Linked DNA regions of Arabidopsis thaliana. The protein of the gene in region 2 interacts with the protein of the main gene of each other region in a pairwise test. Each region holds a gene or a part of one and is shown on either strand. Other genes may lie near its edges.

Evidence for each region.
Region 1: the proteins of GRF5 (region 2) and IAA34 interact in binary tests that used the Arabidopsis thaliana proteins (3 or more experiments, as listed by UniProt).
Region 3: the proteins of GRF5 (region 2) and BIN2 interact in binary tests that used the Arabidopsis thaliana proteins (3 or more experiments, as listed by UniProt).
Region 4: the proteins of GRF5 (region 2) and ERF12 interact in binary tests that used the Arabidopsis thaliana proteins (3 or more experiments, as listed by UniProt).

Annotation. Positions count from the first base shown.
Region 1 is NC_003070.9:5,180,006-5,186,986, forward strand, and holds IAA34 (indole-3-acetic acid inducible 34), read right to left. Parts: upstream 3,409-6,981; 5' UTR 3,239-3,408; coding exon 3,152-3,238; intron 3,025-3,151; exon of another isoform or gene 3,003-3,024; coding exon 2,849-3,002; intron 2,741-2,848; coding exon 2,600-2,740; intron 2,500-2,599; coding exon 2,391-2,499; intron 2,318-2,390; coding exon 2,251-2,317; 3' UTR 1,986-2,250; downstream 1-1,985. Other genes in the region: GAT1_2.1 (Class I glutamine amidotransferase-like superfamily protein), read right to left, coding at 33-299, 390-1,310; AT1G15060 (alpha/beta hydrolase family protein), read right to left, coding at 4,048-4,107, 4,224-4,324, 4,586-4,756, 4,958-5,132, 5,236-5,336, 5,414-5,516, 5,604-6,278, 6,410-6,487 and 1 more. UniProt on the Arabidopsis thaliana protein: Aux/IAA proteins are short-lived transcriptional factors that function as repressors of early auxin response genes at low auxin concentrations.
Region 2 is NC_003074.8:4,604,474-4,612,459, forward strand, and holds GRF5 (growth-regulating factor 5), read left to right. Parts: upstream 1-3,602; 5' UTR 3,603-4,052; coding exon 4,053-4,251; intron 4,252-4,530; coding exon 4,531-5,062; intron 5,063-5,140; coding exon 5,141-5,595; intron 5,596-5,679; coding exon 5,680-5,687; 3' UTR 5,688-6,024; downstream 6,025-7,986. Other genes in the region: AT3G13950 (ankyrin), read left to right, coding at 1-46, 470-722. UniProt on the Arabidopsis thaliana protein: Transcription activator that plays a role in the regulation of cell expansion in leaf and cotyledons tissues.
Region 3 is NC_003075.7:10,292,386-10,301,220, forward strand, and holds BIN2 (Protein kinase superfamily protein), read left to right. Parts: upstream 1-3,752; 5' UTR 3,753-4,088; coding exon 4,089-4,103; intron 4,104-4,140; exon of another isoform or gene 4,141-4,692; coding exon 4,693-4,785; intron 4,786-4,876; coding exon 4,877-5,209; intron 5,210-5,301; coding exon 5,302-5,376; intron 5,377-5,469; coding exon 5,470-5,526; intron 5,527-5,620; coding exon 5,621-5,761; intron 5,762-5,851; coding exon 5,852-5,902; intron 5,903-5,982; coding exon 5,983-6,078; intron 6,079-6,164; coding exon 6,165-6,248; intron 6,249-6,330; coding exon 6,331-6,528; 3' UTR 6,529-7,004; downstream 7,005-8,835. Other genes in the region: AT4G18720 (Transcription factor IIS protein), read left to right, coding at 7,560-8,202, 8,686-8,835. UniProt on the Arabidopsis thaliana protein: Negative regulator in brassinosteroid signal transduction pathway important for plant growth. May be also involved in auxin signaling pathway. Phosphorylates and increases the degradation of BZR1 and BZR2/BES1 by the proteasome.
Region 4 is NC_003070.9:9,950,221-9,956,761, forward strand, and holds ERF12 (ERF domain protein 12), read left to right. Parts: upstream 1-1,541; 5' UTR 1,542-1,713; coding exon 1,714-2,283; 3' UTR 2,284-2,885; downstream 2,886-6,541. Other genes in the region: ERF11 (ERF domain protein 11), read right to left, coding at 6,131-6,541.

The DNA.
Region 1 (6,981 bases), on a different chromosome or scaffold from region 2:
TATTGTGTGTAAAACTGTTTTTGCAATAAAGGCTAATAGTTGAGAAAAAAGGAGGACTCTATGGTCCTATCTGTGTGTTCGGGTTCTAGTAGTTTTCTCTTGATGGCATTGGAGCAAAGACGAGCCATCATATGGTGGAAGGAAAGCATATCAGACAGCCGCTCCGCCGAAAGTTTGTCCATTGCTCTCTCTTGTTCCTCTTTCATTTTCATCCTTTTCATATACACACATGAGTTCCTCACCGTCGCTCCCATCTGCTTCAGCCTATTCTCTTGTTGCTTGCTTAGAACTGTATTAGCCTGCATGATTCATTCAGCCATGTCAGAAAATCCAATATTGAGTGGCAAAACATAGAGCCTGTATGTATGTAAAACAAACGAATCTCTGACCTCTAGAAACTCAGCTTGGGAGAAGCTTTTGACGAGTGTGGTGGTCTTCCTCTTCATCTCAACCTGTGTTGCGTTTACTTGTTTCTTCTGAAATGCGATCACAGCTTTCACAAACTCCTGATAAACTAAAGCGCAGCCTGGATAATCAAACTCATCAGAGCCTGGAAGCCTCATCCTCTCTGGATGAAACTGCAGACCCATCAAGAACTGACCTTCCTTTGGATCATATCGATTCGGATCATAAAATCCTTCAATCAAACCATCAGGAGCATAAGCCATCGGCACAAAACGTTGAGCCAGTCTCTTCACACCTTGATGGTGATACGAGTTCACCATTATCTCCATCTCCTCGAACAACTTATGTAACGGAGTCTCCTCCACGATTCTAGCCTCGTGTCTGTGCCCATCGTAGTTGTCATAATCTATATGATTTGTCGTTGTCATCGTAGTTCCGAGTTCTTTGTCGATGTCTTGGTAAAGAGTTCCACCTGCGGCAACGTTGAGAATCTGAGAGCCACGACAAATGCCTAAGAAAGGAATGTTTCTTTCGAGACAGAGTCTAGCTAGAGTCAGCTCAATGCTGTCTTTCTCTCGGTCGATGGTCATGTCCTCTGCATGCGCCTTCTTAATCTCCTCCATGTCTTCTGGCGAGAGGTCTGATAATTCATCGTCCGCGTAGAGAGAAGGATCGACATCTTCTCCTTCGCAGAGGAGGACACCATGAATAGGCTCGAAGCTCTGGAGCATAGAATGGATCCCATTGACACGTGGGACAATGACAGGGACGGCACCGGAGGAGACGATGAGATCGAGATGGTATTCTCCTACGAAGTCCACGTACTTGTTCTTGCGGAGAGTCCGACGAGAGACGATGAGAACTCTGGGGAGAATCTTGGACGAGAGATCATTGGCGACAACCATTTTTATGTAATAAATAAATCTCTTCTTCTTGTTTTGTCTTGTTTATGTCTTAATCCTCTCTTTCTTAATTGGATGGTTATGTCTTAGTTCTCGTTCTTTATTTATAGATTGGAATGGAGGCGTCGAGGCGCAGCGTCCACTCAAAGCTGACGCACACTTTTTATTATCTGTATACGTTTTTGGTCAAACCTTTCCTATTGCCTATTGGATGCTGAGATGGACTTCTCTGGATATTCCAAATTATTCCTTCTTTTGATTTGGTTATGTTAAACAAAAAAACGTTTTCTTAGTAATAAATGGATATGGATCAGATTAGGTTCTTAGGAGGATTAGATATGAATGGATGACTCATTGACTTGTAACAATATTAAGCATGCAGAGCATATACTGTATATGTCTTTATTTTATACTATATAAATGCATGTCTTTCTGTATTTGGAGGGTGTTGAATTAATTATGGAAATCACGTCATCCTAATCAGCCACCGGTTCAGTCACTCTTACGTGTAAAAGATAACGTCGTAGACTTTCAACAACTCCGTATGAATGAAAATGTAAGAAAAAAGATCGAGGTTGTCGCCGGAGTTGAGCTCTCTTGTCTTCACAAGGCCTTCGATATCCTACTCATTTTTCGTTTATGCGGATTATGAATTGAAAAGTATGAAAGATAAAATGGCAAATTCACCATCGTAATTACACCACTATATCTTAAAACTGGATGGTTCACAATATCTTCGTATCATGGTAAGACGAGAATCCAGACGTAACATATCGGAGCTCTAGTGATCAGGATTTCACCGAAAAAAGTAGTTCGTGGTTCTTTCTTTATTTCGAATATAATCGTATTCAAAGTTACATTTACCTTTTCTCTTTTGTTTCATTTCCGATTCAAGGCTGACTTGGAAATTATAACAAAGAGTGAAGAAAGAGAGAAGCTAATATTAAAAGGGAAGTACAGCATCGTTTCTTCTTGTGATTCTCAGCCGCTCCACGCTTTCTATGAACTCACTGTCATTTACAAATCACAACACATGTAAACGCTTTATTTCAGTAATCTACAAAGAAAGTATCAAGAGCTTACTTCCATGGAACATCCCCAGCATTTCTCCACAGACCTTCTTCGTCTCTGTAGACCAAACAGAACTCAGACTCCATCTGGAACAACCTCAATCCCGACACACTCTGCATCCCTACAGATTGTAATGAACATCCGGTATAAGCCTACTAGGAACATTACTACTTATAGTACTTACTCATCTTTGAATCCCAAGCTTCCCATGAAAAACTTACCAAACATGTCCTCGAGTTGATGAGCAAGAGTTGAATAGCTTCCATGATCAAGAACACAGACCTTGCGACCTACCACCAAACCATCCATGGTGACCTTTACATAACCCCACTTCCGTCTGTATCCTTCATTACTACAATATCCTTTGCCACATGTCATAACTCATAAGTAAACACCGTCTCAGAGTTGAAAAAATTTACCAAGAAATTAAAGGTAATGGAAATACTAATGGAAACGGCAAAGAAACTCACTTTGGCCAGATGAGTGGTAAATCTCATGTTGTATGGTTCTCAGGCTGAGACCTAAATCGATTACGCCACCAAACTCCGTGGTCTGCGAGTAATATGGATGATACTTGGGAGAATTTGGGAAAACACCGAGTGGGTCTGAGTCCATTGTTGGTTTCTATAACAAATACATATTCAGCACATAACAGATACATAGAAAGGTGAGAATGATGTTGATTTATATCAAGCAGCTAAGGCTAAGAGTGTCAGGAGAGTTAAGAGACATCATTGCAGACAGGGAACAAACAAAAGACAAGAACACATTACCTTCCAGGAAAGGATCAGTTTGTGGTCTTTTTGTTGTTTGTCTGATGCCACTAAGTGCAAGGGATGGGGAGGATCGCTGCAATACATCTGGTCAGCCAACACAAAAACCTGAAATTATCGTGAAGTCAGAATTGTACTATACTAATCACAGCAAGCACATCTCTATCTAGTGAAGTGTCTCAATGTTATCAGAGAGTGTTGACAACTCATTGTCTCAAGTCAAAACCTGTAATCACTCAACATCAAACACGTTACAAAAGAAATAGGTAAGTCGTGCTAGAGAATTCTGTACCATAGAGAATCCAACGAATTAATTTATGGACAAAGAAAGAGAAGAACTAGGTATGGTCTTACATGATGGTGGAGAGACAATATCTTTCATGAAAGAGAGCTCTGTTGTTTAATACTAGACAATTCAGATCTATCATTACATCATGTATCCCACACATTATCTGAGAAGTAGGGCTGTGTCATTAATGGATCTAAGACAGAAAATGTACACATAAATCCATGTCTATACAATTGCTCTCATGGATAACTCAAGTCCTCCAAAAGAAGCAAAGCAGTACAAGAGAACACACCAGTTCTTCTAAAGATAAATGTTCAAATAAAAAGCTCGTTGCCATAACAAAACAAGGGAAATCATCACAGTAGACAAGAGCTTCCAGCATCTCATTCGATGCTTTTCCTAATTTACAGGTGTATGACTTGAAAAAACTGCATCCTAAGCTCATGTACAGTTTGCCCAGATACTAAATGTACGTGTCTTAAACGGAAATGGCATCCTTTTTAACAGGCGCTTCTGAAACACACTTCTTCGACACCACCTTAGTGCGACGTCTACAATCTACATGTGCTATAGCATGCAAGGAACAGAAACTCCCGAAATGTTTCACTTATGCGGAATCATGGTGGCTAAGAAATTCAGTTATGCAAGGATAGACTTGCTCCACTGCCTGCAGTAAGTTGTCAGAGAAACGATTAACAAACGAAACAAGCATGCACATGATACAGCATTGAACAAAGTTCCAACATAGGAGGAGACCTAGAAATGACTGGGGAACAAACATACCAGTCGTCCTCCAACCAAATCATAGTGTGCATAATGTGGTCCATCTGGTTCTCCAAGTAACTTATAAGTGACCAAGTTCTCCGGAAACAGCTTAACAGTGTCTGCCATATTCACAAGCATTTGTAATTAGTCATAATGGTGAAAATGCATGTGTGAGTAGCTTAAAAATTTATTTGGTGTGTGTGGAAAGTATCACAAAAGTTAATCCATCTACGCCTTATACAGCCTCTCATAACTCGAAAGAATTCAGTAACAGCAATGTAGAATTTAAAATGAAATGCATATCTGGGTAAATGAATGGTTTCATGTATATGCTAGAGTCATCTATGCAGAATTTCATAATAAACATTATGTTAGTATACCTTCCACAGCCGCAGGGGGGCAGATCAAGTCCCGATCACCTGCAAGAGCTAAGACAGGGACACTGGTTCTGGGAAGATGATCCTTATAGTAAAATTTACCACTACGATCACGTAAGCCTCCCTCTCGAAAGGCCGTTGTCAGCTGAATAAGTAGTTTTGCAGGTATGGTACCTAGATGTAAGAAAACAAAGAAACTCTTGAAAATCACCATAAAGGGAGCAATTACGGATTGCAAAAAAAGTCATGGTACATTCAAGCATCTAATAGTAACTGTTCCAGCATTTTCTTTTTCTTAATGAAGATACGTTTCTTTTCCACTTAAAATACATTAAGAACTCACATACTTAAATGGGATCAACTGTTTTTACTTACAGAAGTTATTCAAGACAAGCTTTTCTAACATTTCAGGGTGCATCATATCTGTTGATGATATCAAATCATTAAGCCAAGATAATACATATGGAGGACGTGTCGAAAGAGGAAAAGCGGCAGCCAACAAAGCACCCAGAGGAACAACTGGAACACTCAGAGCTTCTGCAGGATTGGCCTGTAAAAGAAGTATCTAGTAAATTAGCTACCAAAGATATTTATGGCACATCAATTCTTGTCAAAGATTCCTGCGCAGAGTGATATAACATAACGACACGTACAAGAGGTATGAGCAATTTGAGTGCAGAATTTGAGGTTGTGTAATCAACCGATGATGCCAGAGTTGCCACAGCTGCCACGGAAGGTTCTCGTCCTTCAAAAGCTAACAAAATAATAGAGAAGAAATGAATTTCGGCCTTAATATATGAGCCTCTGTTTGAAAGATGAATACTAACTTACCACAACGTGATAGCATTGCATAGAGTAGGATACCCCCCATGGAGTGCCCAATTGCGAATAGTTTGCCGTCCTTGGGCTTGCTTTGTGCTCTTACATACTCAATCTATAGCAAACCAAAGACGGACACCCAATTCAAACAAAATTCAGACACGATTATGCGAAGTATTCAGCAAGATCAACATTGCCTCACCGCAGCAGGGACATCCTCTTCCAGGTAGTGATCAAAATCCCAGTCATATTTAACTATCAAATCCAGTTGCTTCTGAAAATCTTCTATGGTCGCAGTGAGGCGCTCTTGTAAATCAATCAGCGGAGGCGAGACAGACCTTTGACCATCGTCGAAAAGATTCACAAGGCGCTGAGCCAAATCTCTGACTTGGTTAACAAGTCCTGAGTTTTGCTTTGACTCTATCAAACTCAAAAGCTTCGATCTTATATCATTAAAGCGCTCGTACAGCTGTGTATCATCTACAAGCATTGCAATTTTGTCAAACAACTTAGCAGACATGAACACAGACTGACCTTCACTGAGAAAGCCAGAAAGTCTTTCTGACAAACTCATGAAAGTTGATGTCAATCTCGCCACAAGCTGTGACTCGTCCCAAGCCGATGCTTCGCCAACAACTGAAACATCCGACGCTGGTGCAGGTGCACTACTGTCCATAATATCAGTAGTCTGCTTTTCATCAGAACAAGTTTCTTTACCTGCAGCAGCTCTAGCAGTAGATTCTATCTGATTCGACAATTCATGAGCAGATTCCTCAACGTCCTTAAGATCAGATACTCGTGTACTCAATCCAGCTCCACGAACCTCGAGAATCCAAGTCTCAAATCCCTGTCCAGACATATGCCTTGCAAAAGAGCACTGCAATGACATCAACGAAGATTTACTTGACATTGATCAACAATAAATCTACTTCCTCATCTAAAGATACACTAGTACAATGTAGATCTTGATGATAAAGATTGACATTAAAAACGATGAAGGTAACATACACCAGGAGATAAATCATATCCGATGGCATTAGTTCCTACTCCAGACAACAGTAACAATGGATGATTCCTCGTCGGAGCCTAAGAGAAGAGAGAAAATTCTTGATCACAAAAAAAAATATATAATCCAAATTGCAGATACAGAGAAAGGTGATTGTTGAAATTCGAAAACCTGAGGAGGAGGCAAGTAGCGCCAGAGAGCGAGACGCCAATCGGTGTTAGGAACGGAGACGTAATGAAGCTCGTCGGCGGTGCAAAGAGAAGGTTTCGTGGGGAGCTTAACAGAGGAAGAAGAGAAAGCTCTCGGTCGTAACAACGTCGTTCGGTGACGAAACGAAGGAGTAGTAGTGACGGTGCTGATGGAACGGTGGAGATAGACGGTGGAGGAAGCCCGGCGAAGAGCTGAGCGGATCTCCAAGGGAAATTGTGGAGGCATGGTGGACATGGTACGGACTCTGGCAGATTTGGAAAAAAACAATGGTGGCTCGGTTTCACTCCGGCGTGTTTTTAAGGATCTTCATTCATTTTCCGGTACACGTGGAGAGACGACCAGTGATGTTGATGATTGACGAAGA
Region 2 (7,986 bases):
CCTCAATGAGTCTCATTCTCCTTGTCATCAGCGGTATACGACTAAGGTACCAATAAATAAACTATATGTGCAACTCCATATAACAAGGCTACTTAGTATGTAAATTATTATAACTTGTTTGTATGTTAAGTCTGGAATTTTTATGTAACGCTTGTGTTTGACAAGATATTACTGAGAACTAAAAATAGTCATCTAAATTGAGATCTTGGTGTTGACTTTCGGTTTTAAGTATACCAACTATGTCGGCACAATGGTTGACTTAACATTAGCTATTTCAACAAAACTGGTCTGATTGGTAAAAATACTAATTCGATCGCTATTTGATTGGACTTTAAAACTATGGAAAGTTGATGACATATATCATAGTTATCTAATGGAATTTTGGTACACTCAGAATAAGTAGAGAAATTGTTTGGTATTAGAATAAACTAAAAGACACTTATATGATGATATAATTGTGTATATGAAGGAACCGGATGATAATGGCTATCCTCGGAACATTTATGGTGGTGGCGGTTCTTTGTATATCAGCGGCGTTCTTCTTCGCCATCGTGCTGGTTCAATCCGACGATCAAATAATTCGTTATATACTATTGATTTATGTGGGATTTTGGGTTGTATTTCCTGTTTTGATACTTTTAATCCAACTTGTTCGATTTATAGGTTGGCTTATTTGTTTCATGTGTTGTTGTTGTTGTCCACGTCGGCGACGGTTCCATTAGGGAGAGGTCCCATTAAGAAGAGAAGGAACCCGTGTTTCGAACCCACGTATGAATTTGGAACTTGATGTAGGAAAGTGATACTAGAATAAAAGTCTCCCAAGGACATTGTTATAACGTTTATTAATTCTATGGGTTATTTTTAAACTGTTTAATAAATGCATTTGATTATGTGAATCTTGGCAATTGTGTGGGTTGGTTTGTTGTAAAGTTAATTAATTGCGTGGGTTTGTACTGTTTAATAAATTCGTTTGATTAAAAATTGTATGTTCAAATAATGTGAATCGTGGCAATATCGCCTTGTGAATCGTGATTGGTGAACGATCGTGGTAATTTTTTTTTTTGCCAATAGTTATTCTTACCATGATCTTAGTCCAAATCGCTCGTATAACACAGTAATAAATAAATACAAAAAAAAAGAACAAAGAAAACAAACTAGAATGCGGTGCACACTAGAATGAAACATTACAAAAAACGATTGTGAGCATCTCGTTAATGGGAGAGATTAATATATCCGGAACAAAGCAATAAATATTTTCTCAAAAAAAAGAAGATATAATCATCTCAAAAAAAAAACAAGATAATTCTTTTGACGTAGAATATATAGTAAATAAAAAAACGTGGAATATAGCAATGTTTCATATATATATTCGTAAATCGTTGATTTTTATGTGATTGGATGGATGATGAAGCAAAAGTATTATATTCCCTTATATAAAACGAAGAATATCGTAAAGAACCCTCGAGGCCTAAAAGATGGTTAGGGTATAGACTATAGGCTATAGTATTAACATGTCAATTGTAAATGTCATGAAACTGAAAAAAGAAATAGGGAAAAGTGAGTCAAAGGGAGAAAAGGAGGTAGGTCTCTTGCCCTATAATATCTGCATTTACCCACCCATCATCTCCTATAATATAACCCATTTATAACTCTCCATTTTCTTCTTTTTTTGGTAAAAGTTTGAATTAACTCTTCATTTTCATTTTAATTAATTCGCTAAAAACATAATAAAAACAAGAAGAGAATAGATGATGATGATACAGATGAGTGACTAAAATGGAAATTTATGCACTAAAATGGAAATATCCCTTGGTCCAAAGGTCTTTCCACCTTCTTCTTCATAGCTTAATCACCATGATTATGATCATATATATCTTTGACCAACCAACAAGAGTGGAGCTCTAACTAATATGTGTAGGTACCATCTTACATATCTCCATATACGCATGCATATCATTTTCGAACCAATTTAGAAGGTGATGTATATAATCAAAAGTATTTAGGATGATGGTTTATCGCGTGAACACCATTTTGTTTAAGTACGTGGTCATCGCAAGGTAACCATCTTTATTTTCTTGGGTTGATCTTCACTAGCTATATATTAACCAATTACATATGTATTATTTTGTACTGAAGAAAGGATATAATTTGTAATCGCCAAATGATTGAATTAGTATTTGCTAATTACAAAAATTTGTAGAAATCGCGATAATTATCAACTTTTTTACTATATCCCATCATTCTACTATTACGCAATGTTATCAATTGTACTAGTTTGTTTCATCCACTATGTAAAATCATTCAAACCCTAAAGTCGATGCTCATCAGCTCATGTATATGTATGTATCATGTATATGTACATAAGATATAAAACCTTTATAGATGTGCATGTAAAAGAATGGTAGATAGTAGTAGTAGGTGTGTAAGGAGAAAGATCTAGGGGGCTTCAAAAAAAGGAGAGAAAAGGACAGAGCATGTGAAAAGAGACAGAGAAACAAACAGAGGAGTGAACAGTCTTACTCTTTTTTTTTTCTATGCACTTAATGAACCCAACCCTCTCTGTATATTTCTGATTCTTCACATGTCTTCCTCTTCTTTTTTATTCCGAAAACTTTTCTTCAGTAAAAACCAATGCCGAAAAAAATACATAATAAAAACGACAAAATATCTAACATTTTTTATATAAAAAGGACAAAAGTACTTTCACTTCACTTGCAACCAAACAAACCTAGTCCCCTTCTTTATCCAATGGTCTCTCCCCTGCTCTCTATTTCTCATCTAAACACCCTTTTCTTTCTTTCTTATTTACCATTTTGCCAACTTATGTAAAAGATGTTAAGAAGAAAATGTGAAAATTTAGTAAAAATCTCTCTTTTGTATTGTCGTCAGAAACTGTAAAATAATCTTACTCTTTTTCAAGTCAGCATATAAGTTTGGTTTCTTCTCCCGAGTCAGAGATTCGTGCAGTGATGATACAAGAAGCTTATTCCGAATTCTTTTCATAAATACTCGTATTTCCTTCTTCTTTTTTTTTTTCTTTTTTTTAACATCTATCTGTTCTTCTTGCATCTATCTGATTTTCCTCTGTCTTTTAGACAGTAATAACAGAGCTCACTAAATGTAATAAATAAAAAAATGAGCTCAATAAAAAGGTAAATGGCACTCATTTTTAGGCCATCAAGTGTTGGGATACAGCTGAAATTAAAAAGGCGTCAGCTCAAAGGAAAAAATAAATAAAAAAGATTCCCAAAAATCAATGCACTTTTATAGAAAAAAATACACATAATTTCAAAAAATACTTAAATTTTGAAAAATAAGATGAAGAAAGGATTGAGAAGAGAGGAAAGAGTAGTCAGAGAGACAGGAGCATCAAGTGCTGCAGAAGAAGCAACAGGAACACTGGGCCTGAGTCTCTTCAGATTTGCCAGTCTTTATAGGACCACACTCTTCTTCTTCATCCCCCTTACATACATTTTATCTATTTTTACATTTTACAATATTGGATATTTTAATGTTGTTTTGATTTTACACTACATGGCAAAACTCCTTAAAAGCTCTTGTCCTGATGTGATTCTTTTTTCTTTTCAACACTGTCTAAATATCTCTCTCTTCTTTGTGATCACTCTTTGATTTATTAACTTTCTGATTACCATTCCCCCCAAAATAAACCCTACTAGAGTGTGACTAATTGTATAGTAATCTCTATTGTGTAATAATCTTTTATCTTTCCTCAATACAAAAAAGTAGGGTATATATATAAAAGAGGGAGTGGCCTCGTGTAGAGAAAGAACCTAGCTAGTGTTCATGCAATTTGCATCTGAGGAATATATGCTTAGAAAGAGAGAGAGAGAGAGAGAGAGAGAGAGAGAGAGAGAGAGAGATATCAAACCAGAGGAAAAGAGTGACAGAGAAAGTGGTCATCTTTGTCTGTCTCTGTCCGAAACTCAGGAGCCCTAATCTCTGAATCCATCAAGAAAGCTCTTTCTCTTCCTTCTTTTATGCTTCTGAATTTGCTACATATATAAACTATCTGAAGAAAGCTAGAGAATAAGATGATGAGTCTAAGTGGAAGTAGCGGGAGAACAATAGGAAGGCCTCCATTTACACCAACACAATGGGAAGAACTGGAACATCAAGCCCTAATCTACAAGTACATGGTCTCTGGTGTTCCTGTCCCACCTGAGCTCATCTTCTCCATTAGAAGAAGCTTGGACACTTCCTTGGTCTCTAGACTCCTTCCTCACCAATCCCGTAAGCCCTATACCTATACTTAATTTTCTTTCTTTCATGTTTTCTTTTCTTGCATAAAGTTTCAATCTTTTGTTGATTCTCATGCCCCCAAAGTTTTCAGCTTTATGTGTTTTAGAGTGATTTGGTTTCTGGTTAAAGTCTCTAGCTTTTTTTTTCAACGACCACTTTTAAAAACTCAGTTTCCACAGTCTTACTTTTAATGATTTTGGAACTTAAGGTCCTAATTAGGGTTTTACATCATGATTAATTTTAGGGTTTCGTTTTAATTAAATGATGCAGTTGGATGGGGGTGTTACCAGATGGGATTTGGGAGAAAACCAGATCCAGAGCCAGGAAGATGCAGAAGAACAGATGGTAAGAAATGGAGATGCTCAAGAGAAGCTTACCCAGATTCGAAGTACTGTGAAAAACACATGCACAGAGGAAGAAACCGTGCCAGAAAATCTCTTGATCAGAATCAGACAACAACAACTCCTTTAACATCACCATCTCTCTCATTCACCAACAACAACAACCCAAGTCCCACCTTGTCTTCTTCTTCTTCCTCTAATTCCTCTTCTACTACTTATTCTGCTTCTTCTTCTTCAATGGATGCCTACAGTAACAGTAATAGGTTTGGGCTTGGTGGAAGTAGTAGTAACACTAGAGGTTATTTCAACAGCCATTCTCTTGATTATCCTTATCCTTCTACTTCACCCAAACAACAACAACAAACTCTTCATCATGCTTCCGCTTTGTCACTTCATCAAAATACTAATTCTACTTCTCAGTTCAATGTCTTAGCCTCTGCTACTGACCACAAAGACTTCAGGTTCTGTGATCTTATCTTTAGTTTCTCTTGTTGATCTTTTATGGAAACTTTTATTGATGGATTGTTTTTTGAATTCAGGTACTTTCAAGGGATTGGGGAGAGAGTTGGAGGAGTTGGGGAGAGAACGTTCTTTCCAGAAGCATCTAGAAGCTTTCAAGATTCTCCATACCATCATCACCAACAACCGTTAGCAACAGTGATGAATGATCCGTACCACCACTGTAGTACTGATCATAATAAGATTGATCATCATCACACATACTCATCCTCATCATCATCTCAACATCTTCATCATGATCATGATCATAGACAGCAACAGTGTTTTGTTTTGGGCGCCGACATGTTCAACAAACCTACAAGAAGTGTCCTTGCAAACTCATCAAGACAAGATCAAAATCAAGAAGAAGATGAGAAAGATTCATCAGAGTCGTCCAAGAAGTCTCTACATCACTTCTTTGGTGAGGACTGGGCACAGAACAAGAACAGTTCAGATTCTTGGCTTGACCTTTCTTCCCACTCAAGACTCGACACTGGTAATTAATTAATCTGCAGACGTAATCTTATGATCTATGCTAATTATTGATAGTTTCAAAATTAGTTTAAATTTATTTTCTCAGGTAGCTAATTAAGTAGAGCTGGCATCAATGATGGATCTGCACCAACACACACAACTGTGAAATGTTGAAGAAGAGTCACATTTCACATCTATTTCCGTGGAACAATGAGACAAGACACTGTTTGCAGAATCCTATATGTATTTTTTCTATCTTTTTCTATGTGTGTTAGGTCCAACAAGAAAAAGTGATCCGACAGATATATCTGTATGTGTTCTCTTGCTTTCTCAAGAAATCAGATTTTATTTTACTGTCGCTGATAGCAACAAAAGAAAACATGACTTGATTTGTGAGGGGTATCGTTATATATAATTTATTTGTTTCTTAGGATGCAAGCATCTATATAGTTTCACACATATAATCTAGATTTTTTCTAAGGCCATGTTCTGATTAACTTACTTTAAATGTAAAACATTCATGCAGAGGAATAATAGTAGACTAGGTTGCAAATTCTGTAGGGCAAAGGATACGATTATCCGCAATTAGTTAAAGTTTTATATGTAAACACAGACACAAATAATCAATTACTATCTAAATGGCTGTATGTTGAGATTATCCGCAGGTTATGAAATGACGTTACATAGGCCCAAGTCTTGAATCACGCATTTACGAAACGAGAGTATGGTCAAAACTCTACATAATATGGCAAAACATTAAACTTATTATTATAAGAAGAAGAACCATAAATTTTGTTGTCGTTTATAGAAAACAAACAATCATATACAACTTTTGGTGTATGCTTCCTTCCATGTATGTGCTCCTTTAGCAAAAGGAAAGATGGGAGAGTTAAAAGACAAAACGTCATGACTCTTGATCCATTAATCCTTTTACGTGCGTATGAGTACTTGGAATCATTGGTCATTACCAACATTAATCTTATATTTTTAATATAAATCTCATACGTATAAAATATGTATGCTGAGAATTTTTAAAAGCATGTTGCCACCGAAGATTCTGTGAACGGAATAAGGTCCAGATTAAAACCAGCTCATCTTTGGTCATACCAAACAAAAACGCGTCCTAAACACTTTCATAGTAGGGAACAACAAAATCAATATTATCATTCTTCAACCATGTCAAACTATCCTAACCAGACCGGTTTCCATTAACCGAATCAGGTCAAGGAACTTTCAGACCACCGGAAATTTCAAAAACTCTGATTAATCGGTGTCATCCTTGGCTCTCAAATACGCCCTACCACCAGTTCTAAACTAAACCAGAGGCCAGTTTTCACTTTGCAACATTAACACTAAAGATTCCGACATTTTCTGACTACAAGAGCTATCAAACATGAAAGATTCGATACTTTCTGATTCCAAGAGCTATCAGACACGAAAGAATGACATTTTCTGATTCCAACAGCTAGTCTAAGCAGTTCCTATCTGAAAAATGTCTCAAGCGTCAAAATCAAACCAAAGAGAACTGACAAAGAATCTATTGTCTACGAAAAGCATAACATGAAAAAAGAAACTTGATCTTCCTACCACCTTACTGTGCCTTGAACCTCACTCCTAATAACAACATTACACAAGCAAACCGAAATATCGGAAAACACAAATAAACAGAGGATTTGTGTACAACCATGAATCATTAAGAGAGGTAGAGAACGTAACACACATTTGCGAACTCACAAAATGAAATTAGATATCGGTTTCATCATCTCACAGAATCCCTAAAACAATTTTACATGACTTGAGCCATTCTTTTTTTTTTACTTTCCCCCAACTCTCTCGGTTCCCTCTCTCTAGTTAGCATCGTTAGGCATGTAAATGAAAAACTACACTCCCTTAAAAGAACAAAAAAATTCAGAATACAAAGAAGAAGAAAAAGAAGGAAAGTGTCAAATCCAGAATGTACCCATTTACAGAGGAAAAAGGCTGATGAAGACTTTGAGGAAACATCATTGCAGCAATCAATCTTTCTTAGATCCTCGTCTCAAAAGTGTGTGTTTCCCGGTTTGATGAAAATTCAATAAAATGTGTCTTCCAAATTCAATAAGTATGTGTCATCCTTAGAAGCTGCTTTCTTTTGAAAACCAAGAAGGCAACAACGCATATCTGCAACATTGCTGCAAACCCAGCGAATACAAGACCCACTGTTTTCCCTGTGTTTAATCCACTTTTCTCTGACTGTTTGAAGACCCGAGAAGGAGGAGGAGGAGGTGGAGGAGATGGGGGACGTAACCGCCGTGGTGGTGGTTGGTTTCTATGGGATTCTCTGTTATTAGAATGCGGAGGAGAAGCTTGAGCACGCGGAGGAGGAGGGGGTTTTGAAATCGGTGGCGGAGGTGGAGAAGGAGTAGGTGGAGGA
Region 3 (8,835 bases), on a different chromosome or scaffold from region 2:
AAAATGTTCCACACTATACCTATTGAATAACAAATTTTTCTATAGTGGAATTGCGATTGACAGTTTGGCACTTGCATTAAGTTAATAATTTCACATATATTTTAAGTTCAAATGATAATTATAAGCTAATAAATTCACGTAGATCGTACGCACACATTTTGTTTACATGCTTTAACGTGTTGCATGTTATATATCTAGTTTGGTATGCAAGATTCGTGCCTACCTTGGAACAAAAGAGGCAAATGCTAAGACAAAAGAGGCAAATGCCTAATCATGGCCCAAATTATATACTTTAGAGGATCCCAATTCAAATAGTACTCGGTAGTATTTTGCCGCCAGCTTTTGTCGCTACTTTGAAACAATCTTTCGTATTTAAAGACTAGTTTTGTCTTCCTGGTTATTTTAGTTTAATATGTGAACTTAGCAGTCCTGTAAATAAACTGAGAAGTTGCCGACGTTTGTTCGATCGTTTCTGTTTTCCTCCGCCACGAATCCGGATTTCTCATGTTAGAAACCTATGCACGTCCGATATGTTGCGTTTGAACATTTTTCAAAAGAGATATATATATGGGCCTATATGTTTCTTTTGCAACTATAAATGGGCCTTTGAATAAGAACACAAAATATTGATATTATTTCATGTCCAAAGTTTTATTAAACTCTAGTTGTCAGCTGAAGTGAATTAACTAACAAAAAAAGAAACCGAGGAAAACGAACTAAAGAATCATTTATCTTAGATTTTGTCAAAAAGAGGGATATTTCACCACTTTAGATAGAATTAAATATAGCCGTATAGGGTTTTAAAAACATTTATATGGTTAAACAAAGTGCCAGAATCTAACTAACAAACTCGCCTAAGTCCTAACTCCTCTTTGTAGACTTGTAACGTACAGAGAAGATTGTATAAATCTATGAGCCTTATACTATAAAAGCCCATTCTCTCCACTAGTTTATAAGCTTTGGTTATGGTGGGCTAAAAGTTCCAATCGAAGCCTGAAAAGTGTGAACATCATAACGGTGAAGTGCACTCTAAGGACTGTACGTTCCAAAACAGCATGAACCATCCACAAAAATATTAACAAAATATAGAAAAATAATAAAGACAGAGAGGCTAAAAGAGATGATGAGTTATATAAGAAGTTTGACTAAATAAGTTTGCAGCTTTGACTAGCCCACCTTCTCCCACCGACTGCCAACCCATCCGTCAATATTTCTATCTTCATTTCCTCACAAATATTTATTCAATCTCTTCATTTTCAAATATATAGTTTTCTAGTACTCGTAGTATGGTCTAAAGACTTTAAAACTAAATAAAATGGTAGGAAGTAAATGCAAATTACTTGAATTTGTAAACTATATTCATACTTTCGCAATGTTAGATTAGTCTGAATTCAAATGTGATTAAATACGTTTGTATATATTACGTTATCAAATATAGGTTCAAATTGTAGGGATTGTCCATAACTATTGCGTATATATGTTCAAAATTATATTATATGTTGTATTTGTATACCATAGACGTTATGACATTTGTAAGTTGTAATGTATCTTAAATTAATGTTTTGACACCGGTTTTCAACTATTATGGACGTCTTTAACGTAAGAAAACTGACTTTCTGTGTGTTTGAAAATTAGTCTGCTTTACAAATTAATCTTTGCTTATATAATTTTTAATGATAATAAGATTAAAGAATTTGATAAAAAAAAAAATATATATTAAAAGTAATGTATATTGTTTTTACCAAAGATAATCTGAGGTTAAAGTTACAATAATAATCATATAGAAACAAGTTCAATAGCAAAATTAACTTAGACATGCAATTTACCGATTTCTTGACATTAGTCGAAAAACATTTGAAACTCGGTTATACAATGAGGTTATCGTTCAGGCCTCTGGAAAGAAAATCAATTCTATAATACTTCAATAACTTTTTAGTAAAACTAACTGGATCAACTGATGAATCATATATCAAAAAAACAAAAAAAAAAACTAACGGAGGTAGACAATAGTTTAGCTGGAATGCTTGAAGAAATGGCAAGAATATGCTTCGAGAAGTTATGATTTATGAAGAGGTTACCTGCAAATTTTTTCATTTCTTTTTGCCGACGGTTGGCTGTTAGTTAGGAAAAAGAATTTTTGTTATAGGATTTTCTCTTCCGTTTCGTACAAACCCAATCATTATTCTCGTCTTTATACTTAACTTTGCCTCTCATTTTCATGTTATCAATCTTTTAAATTAAATATATCGTCAATGACTGTTATGAATAATTAGTTCTTCATTCTCTGCCTTGGTTCGAACCTCAGTCACATGGTGCACGTTATTGTGATTTCCCATACCTCAAGAGTTATTCAAGATCCCTTACAGAAATATATTTATATAATCTTTTATCTAATGTAGTTATTTACAAACATGTATTATCTACCAAAATAAAAAGGGCTAAAAGCTTCTTGAGTGAGACCGCTTTTGGTTCGATTCATTTTCCTACACTCCAATAGTATTACACTATTGTATATAACAAGAATCGTGGGATTTGTTTAATCCGTACAATGAAACAAGAAAGATATACAATAACTTAATATCATTTTTTTTTGGGGACAATCTTAATATCATTTCTAATTTCTATAGAACCAAAAACACTCATAACAACTTAAACTTTGTTTTTTGTGAGAAAAATAACAACTTAATTACTAGTTACTACATTGACAATTTAACATCTTCAGCTAAAACCGAATGTATATGAACATTTATAATCTAGTTGCTATTGTATATACGATTGGATAATACGCATATCGACATTTAAATAATTGAGCCTGAAGATAATTCACAAATATGCAATGTAAATCCGTCCATACAGCCAAAAGTATGTATGTCCCATGCATAATTGAACAAAAAGAAATTATATTAATATTATTTTTGTTGTCTTCTGCAAATGCTAGGACTGCTATCATTATCATCATTGATTTTAATATTGATGTTTCCAGAAAAATAAATAAACAAATATAAAGAAAAAAACAAACACAATAAGTAAAGCTACACTATTAGGTAATAATTAAAGCTCATTTTTAAGTCTAAAATTTTAATTATAAAATAAAAACATTAAAAAGTTAAGACCCAAAGAAACATAAATGCTTTTTTCTTTCATCAATGTCAAAAAAGAAGTTTTCCCACCAAATGGTCAAACTTGGATCTTTGACAATATTGTTCCAATTTCATCATGCCCTATCTTTTCTATTTATACACATACCTTAGATATAATTATTAAACCCAAAATTTGTGTTAAGAAAAAAAATAGACCCAAAATTTGTGTTAAGAAAAAAAATAGACCCAAAATTTGGAATATATATATAAGTCACCGCTGGAAAAAAAATTATTGCAAGTAATTTCTTATATGAAATTGGAATGATAATATTTTGATCAAGTATCCATTACTAAAATTTTACAACGCTAGATAACGAGATTGCTTGAAGTCGAACTTGTGAACAAATTATAATAATGTAAAACTAACTTGTATTGACTAATCTTTGATTTTTTTTACAATAATGAGTGATATTACATTCATTTTATTAACTAAATACAACGAATATGATAAATATTCAGTCCTCTTATAAACTTTATGATAGTGAAAATTTGAGACATTGACAATTCTAGCATTCTAACATTTTATGAGATTACATGAAATGTCAATTTAGACCTTAAACCAAACGAATACATGATTCAAATTTGACCGACAAGTACATGATGCCTTCCCTTTGATCACGAAATTTCCACAAAGAGTCCGTGTCTGCGTAATTAACCAGCAATTTCAAGGGTGTTTACGTAATTGTAGCTTAACAAATAAAAAACACGAAAGAAGATGGCGAAGAAAACGGAAAGTAGTAGATAGATAAAGAAAGAGAAAGAGAAGAGCTGGATTCACATGGTCTTGTTCTTTCTCTCTCCTTCTTTTCTCATCTTGCGGCTTCCCTTTCTCTCTCTATCGCCACAATGATCATTACCAACCAAACTGATTGAAACTCATTTGTTCTCTCTCTCTCAAATCCACTCTCTCTCTTTCTTTTCTCTTCTCCTCTCTGTGTCTCTATCGCCATGGCTGATGATAAGGTAAAGCTGCTTGTGTTCCTTTTGCTGTCTTTTGAAGAAGAAGATCCTGTTTTTTGGTTTTTCCACATTTGACCCTTCAATTAGTTGTCTTGAGATTCCTGTTCTTACAGATGTTTTGTGATAATAAATCTAGTTTAGTTAGTACTCTTGAAGTTGAACGGTTTTGAGTTCTGGGTTTGTCCAAAGTTTTGAGCTTTCGTTAACTTTTTGACTTACCCTGAGATCTCTGAGGGTTTTGAGTTCTGAGCTTAGAATTTTCTAAGTTAGCTCTGTTGGGATGATCCATGTCTATATATCTCGATCTGTGATTAATCCAGAGTTTATACAAGCTGCTAGATCCATAATTGAACATAGATTAGTCCTTGTTTGGTTTGTTATATGTATTTGTTTTGTTTACCATTCTTTTGGCGTGACAAAAGTATATATTTTTAGTTTTAACTAAATCAGATTCACTCTGCGTAACGGTTATTTTGTAACCACTCTTTTAGGATAAAAGTTTCCTTCTTTAGACTTTTGATTCTCAGACAAGCATTATTCTTTTAGCTTTTGATAATGGTTTTGTGCTGATATTAAAGCTTTTCTCTTTCAGGAGATGCCTGCTGCTGTAGTTGATGGACATGATCAAGTCACTGGTCATATTATTTCCACCACAATCGGTGGCAAAAATGGTGAACCAAAACAGGTATTTTTAAGGCTTTTAACCAAATAGACTCACTTTTATGTATATGCAAGATTTTGATGGTTACCAATACATTTTTCTATGTTGTTGTTAGACAATTAGTTACATGGCGGAGCGAGTTGTTGGTACAGGCTCGTTCGGGATCGTTTTCCAAGCAAAATGTTTGGAGACTGGAGAAACCGTGGCGATAAAGAAGGTTTTGCAAGATAGAAGATACAAGAACCGAGAACTTCAGTTGATGCGTGTGATGGATCATCCGAATGTGGTTTGTTTGAAGCATTGCTTCTTTTCGACTACAAGTAAAGACGAGCTTTTCTTGAACTTGGTTATGGAGTATGTCCCTGAGAGCTTGTATCGAGTTCTGAAACATTATAGTAGTGCAAACCAAAGAATGCCTCTTGTCTATGTTAAACTTTACATGTATCAGGTAATAACAACACACATTCATATCTTCCATTTCCAAAGTTGATGTACATAAGATTGTTCTTAGGCTGATATTACTTCCTTTTGTTATGTTAGATCTTCCGGGGACTTGCTTACATTCACAATGTTGCTGGAGTTTGTCACAGAGATCTAAAGCCTCAAAATCTTCTGGTATGTGTAACATTTTAAGATTGAACTCTTTGTTTTTTTTCTTGCCTTTGTTTCTTTCGTTCTTAATGTATCTCTTCTGGTCTCTTTCTATAGGTTGATCCTCTTACTCATCAAGTCAAAATCTGTGACTTTGGCAGTGCGAAACAGCTCGTAAGACTTTGTGACATATAAACTCATTCGACTTGTAGCGGTTGTTGTTTTCTGTGATCTTGTCATTTACTGTTGAAATTTACTTTTGCTTCAGGTTAAAGGTGAAGCCAACATTTCTTACATCTGCTCACGATTCTACCGTGCACCCGAGCTCATATTTGGTGCCACTGAGTACACAACTTCTATTGATATCTGGTCTGCTGGTTGTGTTCTTGCTGAGCTTCTTCTTGGTCAGGTAAACAATTCTTTCAGTAACCAGCTTATTCAATCTCCATGTGTATATTTGCATTAGGACTCATTGTGACTATATCATGTTCTTATGCAGCCATTATTTCCCGGAGAAAATGCTGTGGATCAGCTCGTTGAAATTATAAAAGTAAGAATCTTTAAACGATGATTCCTTGCAAATTACATTCTTTGGCTACAAAATCCTCACTGTATAGTTGTTGTACACAGGTTCTTGGTACACCAACTCGAGAAGAAATCCGTTGTATGAATCCACATTACACAGATTTCAGGTTTCCACAGATAAAGGCACATCCCTGGCACAAGGTTAGTGTCTTTTCTCTTTTTGCATGTGTTCTTGTTTCAGTTTCTTTCTTCACACATCAACTGATCATAATTACGTTTTGGTTTAGATCTTCCACAAAAGGATGCCCCCAGAAGCGATTGATTTTGCATCAAGGCTGCTTCAATACTCTCCAAGTCTAAGATGCACAGCGGTAAGCATTGGTCTTGAGGTTTCTTCAGTCTCTAAGAATCCAACTGAATCCTTACTATATATTTTGTTTCCTCGTATTTCAGCTCGAAGCTTGTGCACATCCGTTCTTTGATGAACTCAGAGAACCAAACGCTCGTTTACCAAATGGACGGCCTTTCCCGCCTCTCTTCAACTTCAAACAAGAAGTAGCTGGATCATCACCTGAACTGGTCAACAAGTTGATTCCAGACCATATCAAGAGACAATTGGGTCTAAGCTTCTTGAATCAATCTGGAACTTAAAAGGGATCCTGCAAAAGACAACTACTTTTTTATATATAATGTACCATTACACGAGCCACAAGGTCGTAGTTGAAGGCAAACGTGGAGGACACAATTCAAAGTTTTTCCTCCTCAAACTCGTTCAGACAAAGCCAGCTGCTAGCAAAACCAACTCCCCCAAATCTGCGAAAACAAAAACTCTCCAGTGTTGTATCTGCTTATTTCTCTTCTCTTTTCAAGTTTGGTGAAAAACACAGTCTCCTCTTTGCTTCATTTCTTCTTTCTTTCCCCCTTATGTAAATGAGTTTAGTCAGAAGTTTTTTTATATAGTAAAGTTTGGGCAGAAGGTGAAGAATGTAATCAAAGTGATACTCTTTCAACGAGGAGCTTCTTTCAAACACTTTTTTTTTTTTTCAAACACTTCATGAATGGATACATGGTTTTGCTTTAAGCATAAGTATATTTGTATTAAATTTTCACTCAATTTAATTGCACGAATCATTACAAAAATAATATCTCGCTACTCATATAAATACCCTATAAATAAATAAGTGAATTTTTTTTATCTCTCATGGAAATTTGATTTATGTATTTATATGTTTTAAGATTCGAAGAAATTTTTAAATAATGAAAATTTACAAATATATAATTCTTAATTCAGAATTTCAGATATTGAATTACTTATTGGATTTTTAAAACAAAAAGAAAATTACATGACTTTTTTTTTCTTTTTTTTTTTTAAATATCTGTTAGTTCAAGTTAAAAGACCATACATTTTCTAAAGGCGGGACCTATATCAGGTTAAATTCATCTCCTTTTAGAAAAAAAATATATTTGGGAAAGGCTTTGATAGCAAGCAATTAAAGTATCCGAAACTAACAAAACCTATCTGGTCTTGGACTCTTAGTCTTTATATAAACAACATCAGATAGATCGAGAGACCATACGCAACAATTTACTAATTTCTCTTCTCCTTCGTTGCTTTTGAAACCCTAGTTATTATCGAGAGATCAAACACGTACGTACACAAAAGACCGATCAAACAGAGAAGGATGCAGAAGCGTGAGTTCATGGAGTTGTTCGAGGCAGCACTTAGAGCGGCTAAGTCTGTGAAAGGTGATGAGAATTCTCCAGAGGTATCGAGGTTTGTCGATGCCATGAATCGTTTGAAGGAAGCACCCAAGTCACTTGTTTGTGACGTGGTCTGCAAAACCTCCATGGGGCAGGGTTTGGAATTCTTCATCGATCACAAAAACCCTAAAATTCGATCGGAAGGAAGGATTCTTCGGGATCTTTGGATGAAGTTTTTTTACGCTTCAGGTAGAGAAAAGAGCCGTGATAATAGAGAAGCTGCGGTGAAGATCCCGACGCACGCAACGATGAAGAAGACTGGAGATTCAAAGCGAGACAAAGTGCGTGAGATTCTACAAACATCTTTGGCTAAAGTCGCTTCTGAGGTTGTTGACACGGAGATGAAGACACGAGTGACTGCTTGTGATCCTTGGGTTGTGGCTGTATCTGTGGAAACTGCAATGTTTGAGAACTTAGGTTGTTTCATGGGACCTCAAAAAGCAAAGTACCGGTCTATTCTGTTCAACATGGGAGATAGTAACAATCCAGATTTGAGGAGGAAAGTGTTACTTGGTGAGATTAGTGGGGAGAGATTAGTGAAGATGGAGAAGGAAGAGATGGGGAGTGAGAAGATTCAGAAGGAGGTTCAAAGGATTAAAGAGAGAGCAAGATTTAAGGAAGAGAGTCGCGTGAAGATGCTTTCATCAGCAGATATGATCATCATTTAGTTAGCTGCAGAGATTTAGTCATGAGTTTCATTATTGTATAGAATCAGTATTCGTGTCAATTTTCTATCACAAACTCGAGATATTAGTAGATTGTAATTTCAATACGATGATCGTTTTCAAGTTGCTTCATTGAATGGTGTTTCTAAATCTGCGTTTAAAGAATCTAGTCAAAGTGTTTCGTTTCATAAGAGGGAGCTCTGCAGTTTATGCAGTTTAAGGGGTCTTTGGTTTTTTCTTTTGAATGTTTGTCTTCTATTCGCATTAGGACTCATTGTTCTTATGCAGCCATTAATTCCCGGAGAAAATGCTGTACAATGGTTCCTTGCAAATTACATTCTTTGGCTACAAAATCCTCATTGTATGAAGTTGTTGTACATAGGTTCTTGGTACACCAATTCGAGAAGAAATCCGTTGTATGAATCCACGCATTACACAGATTTCAGGTTTCCGCAGATAAAGGCACATCTGTGGCACAAGGTTCGTGTCTTTTCTCTTTTTACATACATTCTTGAGAGAACCAAACGCTCAT
Region 4 (6,541 bases), on a different chromosome or scaffold from region 2:
AAAATGATTATTAGTACTGTAGTAGCTTATATAGCTTTGGGGTATCTCTCTTTTTTTTACTGTGCTTATAGGTAGGGTTAATTTAAATAATTAGATATGTCAGAGAGAGAGAAGTCAGACATCAGAGTTCGCACGTGTATAAATTTTGTTAGATATGGACCAATGCATTTGTTCAATCAAAACGACAGACCCTAAGCCTTGTCACGTGAAAGGAAACACAGATTTTTTTATTTATTTTTAAATAACCCTAAAACCAAACAAAAACATCTTACAAAATGTCAAGAAATAGAGAAGTTAAAAGACAAATTAATCTAATAAAACTTCAGTTGATAAAACAAAAACAAAAAACCTCTAACTAATTTGTTTTAATTCATTGTCTATTACTGAAAATTATAAGCCACTTCAATTGCTATAAATTTTTGACTCCTATGATTACTATATATTTTACACAATATAAAGACTTAAACTACGTCACTTTTTAGAGGGAAAAGAAAGAGCCTATGTAATCTACTCTATTAGTATAGACTAGAGAGTATAGTAAGTTTGCATAAGATGGGCTAATGAATTTTGGACAAAAAGAAAAACAAAATCAGTCAGAGCTAAAGATAGAGTAGTTGTGTCAAGTAACTTTATTTAATGATCTCCTTGTAGCCTTGTCCTCGTGCATCATAAATATATATGGGTGCCAATAAAACCCCAAAAGAGAGCATTTAAATACTTGTCAAATAATAGAGTGAAAGATACAAAAGATAGAGAGAGATGGCTATTATCAGTACTAGGGATTACGTCAGCATCCCTATGCCACAGGTTCAGTCAAAGAGGCGGCCCATTTTTCTTTCCTCTTCGTAAATGTACAAGATTATTTATTTTTAGTTCTTTTTTCTTTGATCATTTTGTATCAATGGTTGCTGTGAGAAAAAGCATCGAGATTGTTACGATCGAAAACAAAGTACTTGAATTATGAAAAAATGTTTGGAGAGCCTATGCAAAAATGATCTTTCTATCTTCTTTTTATAATAGCATAAATTTCATAGTATGGCATTATCGTCACTAGCAAGTAATGAGTTAATTTACCATAAGTTACAACGGTAATGAGGTTGTTTGGAGAGTAGAACTAAAATATTTTATTTCTAACCATTACCTAACAAATCTTTTTTATATAACAGAAGTTGTAAATGGTAGATAAGAAAACAGTATTAGCACTCAAAGGAATGATTAGCATTGTTTTCTTTCATGTCCTAGAATAAGTCCACTCACCACTAGAAGTATTCACTTTATGAGAAATCCTATTGTATTTTTTCAAATACATCAACTTATTAAAACAACATTATTTTGGTGTAGAACACCCACGTGTAACAATCTCTCAGCATACCACCGTCACATCACCCAACAGCAAAAGATCGAACGGTGCTTGATTCTTGCAAACCCCAGAGAAAACCTCGATCCTAGAAATCAAACACTATTCAGTTTTGTTTTTACTATTAACTTGCCATATATATTACGTATAGGCAACAAATAAAGATAGATAATCGTCAAAAGAAGCCGAGGATTACGGGTGTTCTCAAGCGGCCCTACAAACACACCTCTTGCTCTTTAAACTCACTCACTCTCTCTCTCATTTGGGTCAAACGAGCCAACAAAGCAAAACCTCTTTCTTCTCTTCTCCACTTTCTCTCTAGATTCTCTCATATTTCCCCTCTTGAGAGTCTAACAATGGCGTCAACGACGTGTGCAAGAGAGGTGCATTACAGAGGAGTCAGAAAGAGACCTTGGGGTCGCTACGCTGCTGAGATACGAGATCCTTGGAAGAAAACTAGGGTTTGGTTAGGCACTTTCGACACTCCCGAAGAAGCTGCTCTTGCTTACGACGGCGCTGCTCGTTTCCTCCGTGGTATCAAAGCCAAAACTAACTTCCCTTCTCCTCTCTCTCTCGACCTCAACCACCTCCCTTCCGCTCCCTCAGCCGCAACCGCCGCCGCAAATAACCAACCCCACCAACACCAACAGCTCTGGTTCGCTGCGCCTCCTCCTGTTCCTCCAAGCTCCGACCATCATCACCAACACCACCGCATTTTTCTCCGAACCGGTGTGCTAAACGACAAAACTTCAGATTACTCTTCTACAGAAGCGCCGCTTTACTTCACCTCCTCGCCTAACACAGCCACGTCATCGCCTGGTTATCAAGTGGTTGGGTTTCCGATGATGAATTCTTCTCCTTCCCCTGTTACGGTGAGACGTGGCTTAGCCATTGACCTCAACGAGCCTCCGCCGCTTTGGCTTTGAAAACAAACGATAAAGATGGATATAGCGGCGCCGTTTTGCCTACTTTTCTATACGGCGCCGTTTGAGACCACTTTCGGTGGAACTACTTTAGTTTCTTTTTTTAGCAAATAGTATCTTTTTGTTAGAGTTAGTAGACTTGTTTTTATAATTTAATCCTTCTTTTGTTCGTTATGTAAGAGTCGGAGATCGATTGTTGTTGTGAGATCCATATGTTGCGGAAAAAACAAGAAACTTCTTAATTAGCAACACAAAAACTTAACAACGTCTGAACGTGGATCTAATTATGTTTGTGGATCGTGTTACGACCGTCGCTTATGTCGGTTTCGAGGGGGTTTTAAAAATCTTATCGTATTCTATGGCGTGTCGTGAAGTACGGACTGACTTGTGCAGCTGTTTGCTTTGCTAGTGTCCTGTTTGACTCACGCGCCTCTCTCTTAAATCACGACAAAAGACGGACTGAGAAAAGAAGGAAACAAACAAAAGAGATAGAGACTAATGAGAGACGTAAATGCTGAGCAAGCGTGTGAGTTTGGACTGGCTTATTCACTTACGGACAAGATATGTGTATTATGAGTCTTGAGTTTGTAAATAAATTGTATTTTTTTATTTATTTTGAAAATTTTCATATGAATTCGAACAAAAGTTTTCTGATAAAATTAGAGGAAGTTTAATTGTCCTATAATTTTTCTGCTCATGTTTACCAATCTTATATATGTTATGCGTGTATACATATATATATAGAAGCATCTAAAAATATAAAATAAATAAAATTTTTGACGGTCCTATATAGATAAATATCAAATTCACATAACAAATTTATCTACAGAAGTCTTAAAATAACGCAAATTTCAGTAGTAAATGAAACAAACATGTTTGATATAATCAAATATCATAAGAAGTCAAATTAATTAACTAAAGGAGATCTCACGTAGCGAAATCAAAACTTTCATGCAGATTGTGAAGATTTTATGTTTATGTTTTATATGTAGAACCGGAATCGTGTAGTTTTATGAGACTATAAAACAGTCATAGAACTGTTACATGTGTTAGACACTTAGACATATGTATTGACTAAACAAAGATCATGCATTATGCATATTGCTTTCATAAAAGATCAAATTCTAACAGTTTCGTTGCAACTTCTTTTTATCGTATTTCATAAGCGATTTGTAATCGACCTCATGTAGCTTTTAGCAAGAGAAAGACAAAAAGAGTTTAGCGACAAATTTTATAATTTAAGAAATATTTAGAACCTAACAAAAAATTTATGTTTTAGGCCTAATAAACCAGTTGTATAATCTGAATTTAAACATATGTTCGCTATGACGACGAACCTCTGCATGTGTTTCTGCGGTGCAACTGAATTTACCAAATTGGCCAAAGAGACCCCACGCGCCGCCGCATGATATCGCTTGTGTTAGTGAAAAATCAATTCAAAACTTTGGGTTGCTACATTACTTTTTTTTTATATGGGCTTAACTGTTTATTTTAGTCCTTCCTTGCGTGTCTCTTGTCGTTTTCATAAACCTTATACCTAAGGTTTATATAATTATTTGACAAAACAAACAAAAAAGTCTTATAACAATTTAGTGCTATTTTTCTTGAAAGTGTGGCGGCAGTGGCCGACCATCAATTTTTGAGGTTTATAATCAATAATGCCTTTTGTGTGTATGAAATGGTTCGAAGATATGTGTCCAAAATAAGTCCCAACAAACTATCCGCGGTTTTGGAAATTATTGGTTTCTGGTTTACAATTTCTGAGTTTTTAACTTTTTGCTCTATGTGAGTATATTGTGTGCCTATTTAACCCATGAATTTAGGTAATAAGGCTAATCTCTTCAAAAATTATTCCTTTAGCTCAAAAAAATTCAAGAGGAACTAATCGTTAGTTTTATGTATCCCATTTGATTTCTTCATCTCCGAGAATCAACAAATTCAAAATGAAGGATTTCTGAGATTTGATATAGAACTGATAGGCTAAGAAAATCAAGATTATTTCTGTCAAAAAAATTATATAAGCTAATTGAAATCTAGTTATATTATATAAGATAATTGAAAGGCAATGGACATTGTTGACAATTGACAGTAATCTTTTTTTTTGGGGGGGGAGCAATAAACATTAATATTTGGGCCAAAAGAATTGATGGGCTGTTTAGCAATCGAGGTCCAAGTTCAGTTTTGTTAACGTTGATACAGATATTGTAGGTAAAGTATGTATATGGAAATGAGATATATATCGAGCAAACCTATACTCATGGACTACTGTATTCATCTAACATTTTGCCATTATTGATCCGACTTATACAAAAGACAGTTAGATGCTACACTACTCTTAACTTCACCCATACAAATCGACCATACAAGCTTTCTCTGGCCAGTACAAAAAATAAGGCTCCCTATGAATCTCTCAAGCCAAAAAAATTGATACTCACATAGAGGACAAAACTCTCTCATTGCAGAACATAACATTTAACCATAAGAAATGGCCAGTATCCATATAGGATTGCAGCCGATAATCAGACGTTATGTTTTTAGCAATGAGACTACCGCCTCTATCTAATGTCAGGCTTTCCCCAACAAGTTTCCATTCCCCAAACTGATATAGAATAAAGAGGAAATCCAAAGATTAGTATCTGAAAGATGGCTAACCTCTCGACGACTCGACCTATTTATAGTTCCTACCAAAACGTGTATAAACTATCGGTTAGGAGTTTGTCCAAAAGAAAAATTATGGGTTAGGAGAAATAAGTAACTATACATGTATAAATGACTTTCTCTTTATTTAGATATATTAAAAGACACAATATCTATGTTTTATTTTTCTATAATAGACTTTTGGTCAATGATAAGTTAAAATACATTCGCATATAAAAAATCGTACATTCATATATAGAAAAGATAACAAATATTATAATCTAAGAATGAAAACCGTACAATTCATTTTCCATATTGGCAAAAATGAAAATTAAATAAGAAATGATCATATAAGTTATCGATATACAAAATTTCATCTTAATTAAAAAAAAAAAAAAATTCAGGTAAATTGAGTTTTAACGAAAAAAAAAAATAGTGTGTTATACACGGTATAGACTACACCCAAATACAATTTAGATAAACAATCTATATTTTTCTTAAAACAACGATTAACATAAGATATCTACGAATGCCACTTTCCATAACAACAAGAAACAATACAACAAAACGATAACTTATTATTTTAGTTTTTGAATATAATATAAATTATAGATTGCTTATCTATAATTTATTAAAAATATATATATATATATAAATTAAAAAAAAAAAAAAAATTAGCGTTCTTACAACTAATGCCGTTATGTTTAACAATTTTACAAAGAAAAGTTAGAGCTTCTTGTCCTAGCTTGTGTTCCTTGATTCGAGCAAGATAACTTATTATTGCTTTTGTTCAAAACAGCAAATTTTATATTTGACCAATAATCTCATTATCCTGAATAAAGTATTATCTCCATTATATTTGTTTATTAAAAAAATAATTAAGAATCCTACTATTTCCTCAAATCCAATTGGATATAGGTAAAAAACATAAGATCAACAACCTTATATGTTCATCAGAGAGATTAATACCAAAACAAAGTATCATTTTAGTTGATCAGGATTATCATTAATGATATTTAAAAGAACATCAGCAGATCTGAACGAAACACGATCTCAACACTAAAAAATTCTTTAAAACTATCTGCTGATGACCAAAAAAAAAAAAAAAAATTATTGGCACCACTTAAACTTAAAGCTTCTACTTAGATGATGATCAAATAATACTCAATTCAGAAACATTTAATTATATCTAATAATCATAATTAAATCTTAATCAGTTCTCAGGTGGAGGAGGGAAATTAAGATCCAAGTCCAAAACCACACGTCGTCCTTCATATCTAACGACATCCATCACCACCGACGAAGAATCCGATTCACTCCTTTCATCGAACACCATCATCCCAGCCTTAACCTGAATCTTAGGAAAAGGGAATCTCGAACTAACAGAGTCAGATCCGAGGTTGAGATTAGGAAACGATGATTCCACGGTGCTGCTCTGGCTCAGGCTCTGTGTCAAACTCAAGCAGTGGGCGTTGATGTTGTAACAAGGGAAGTTGGTTTTGGCTTTAGCTCCACGAAACTCAATAGCACGTTTGTCGTAGGCACGAGCGGCTTCTTCAGGAGTGTCGAAAGTACCGAGCCAGACACGTGACTTCTTGAAAGGATCTCTGATCTCGGCTGCGTA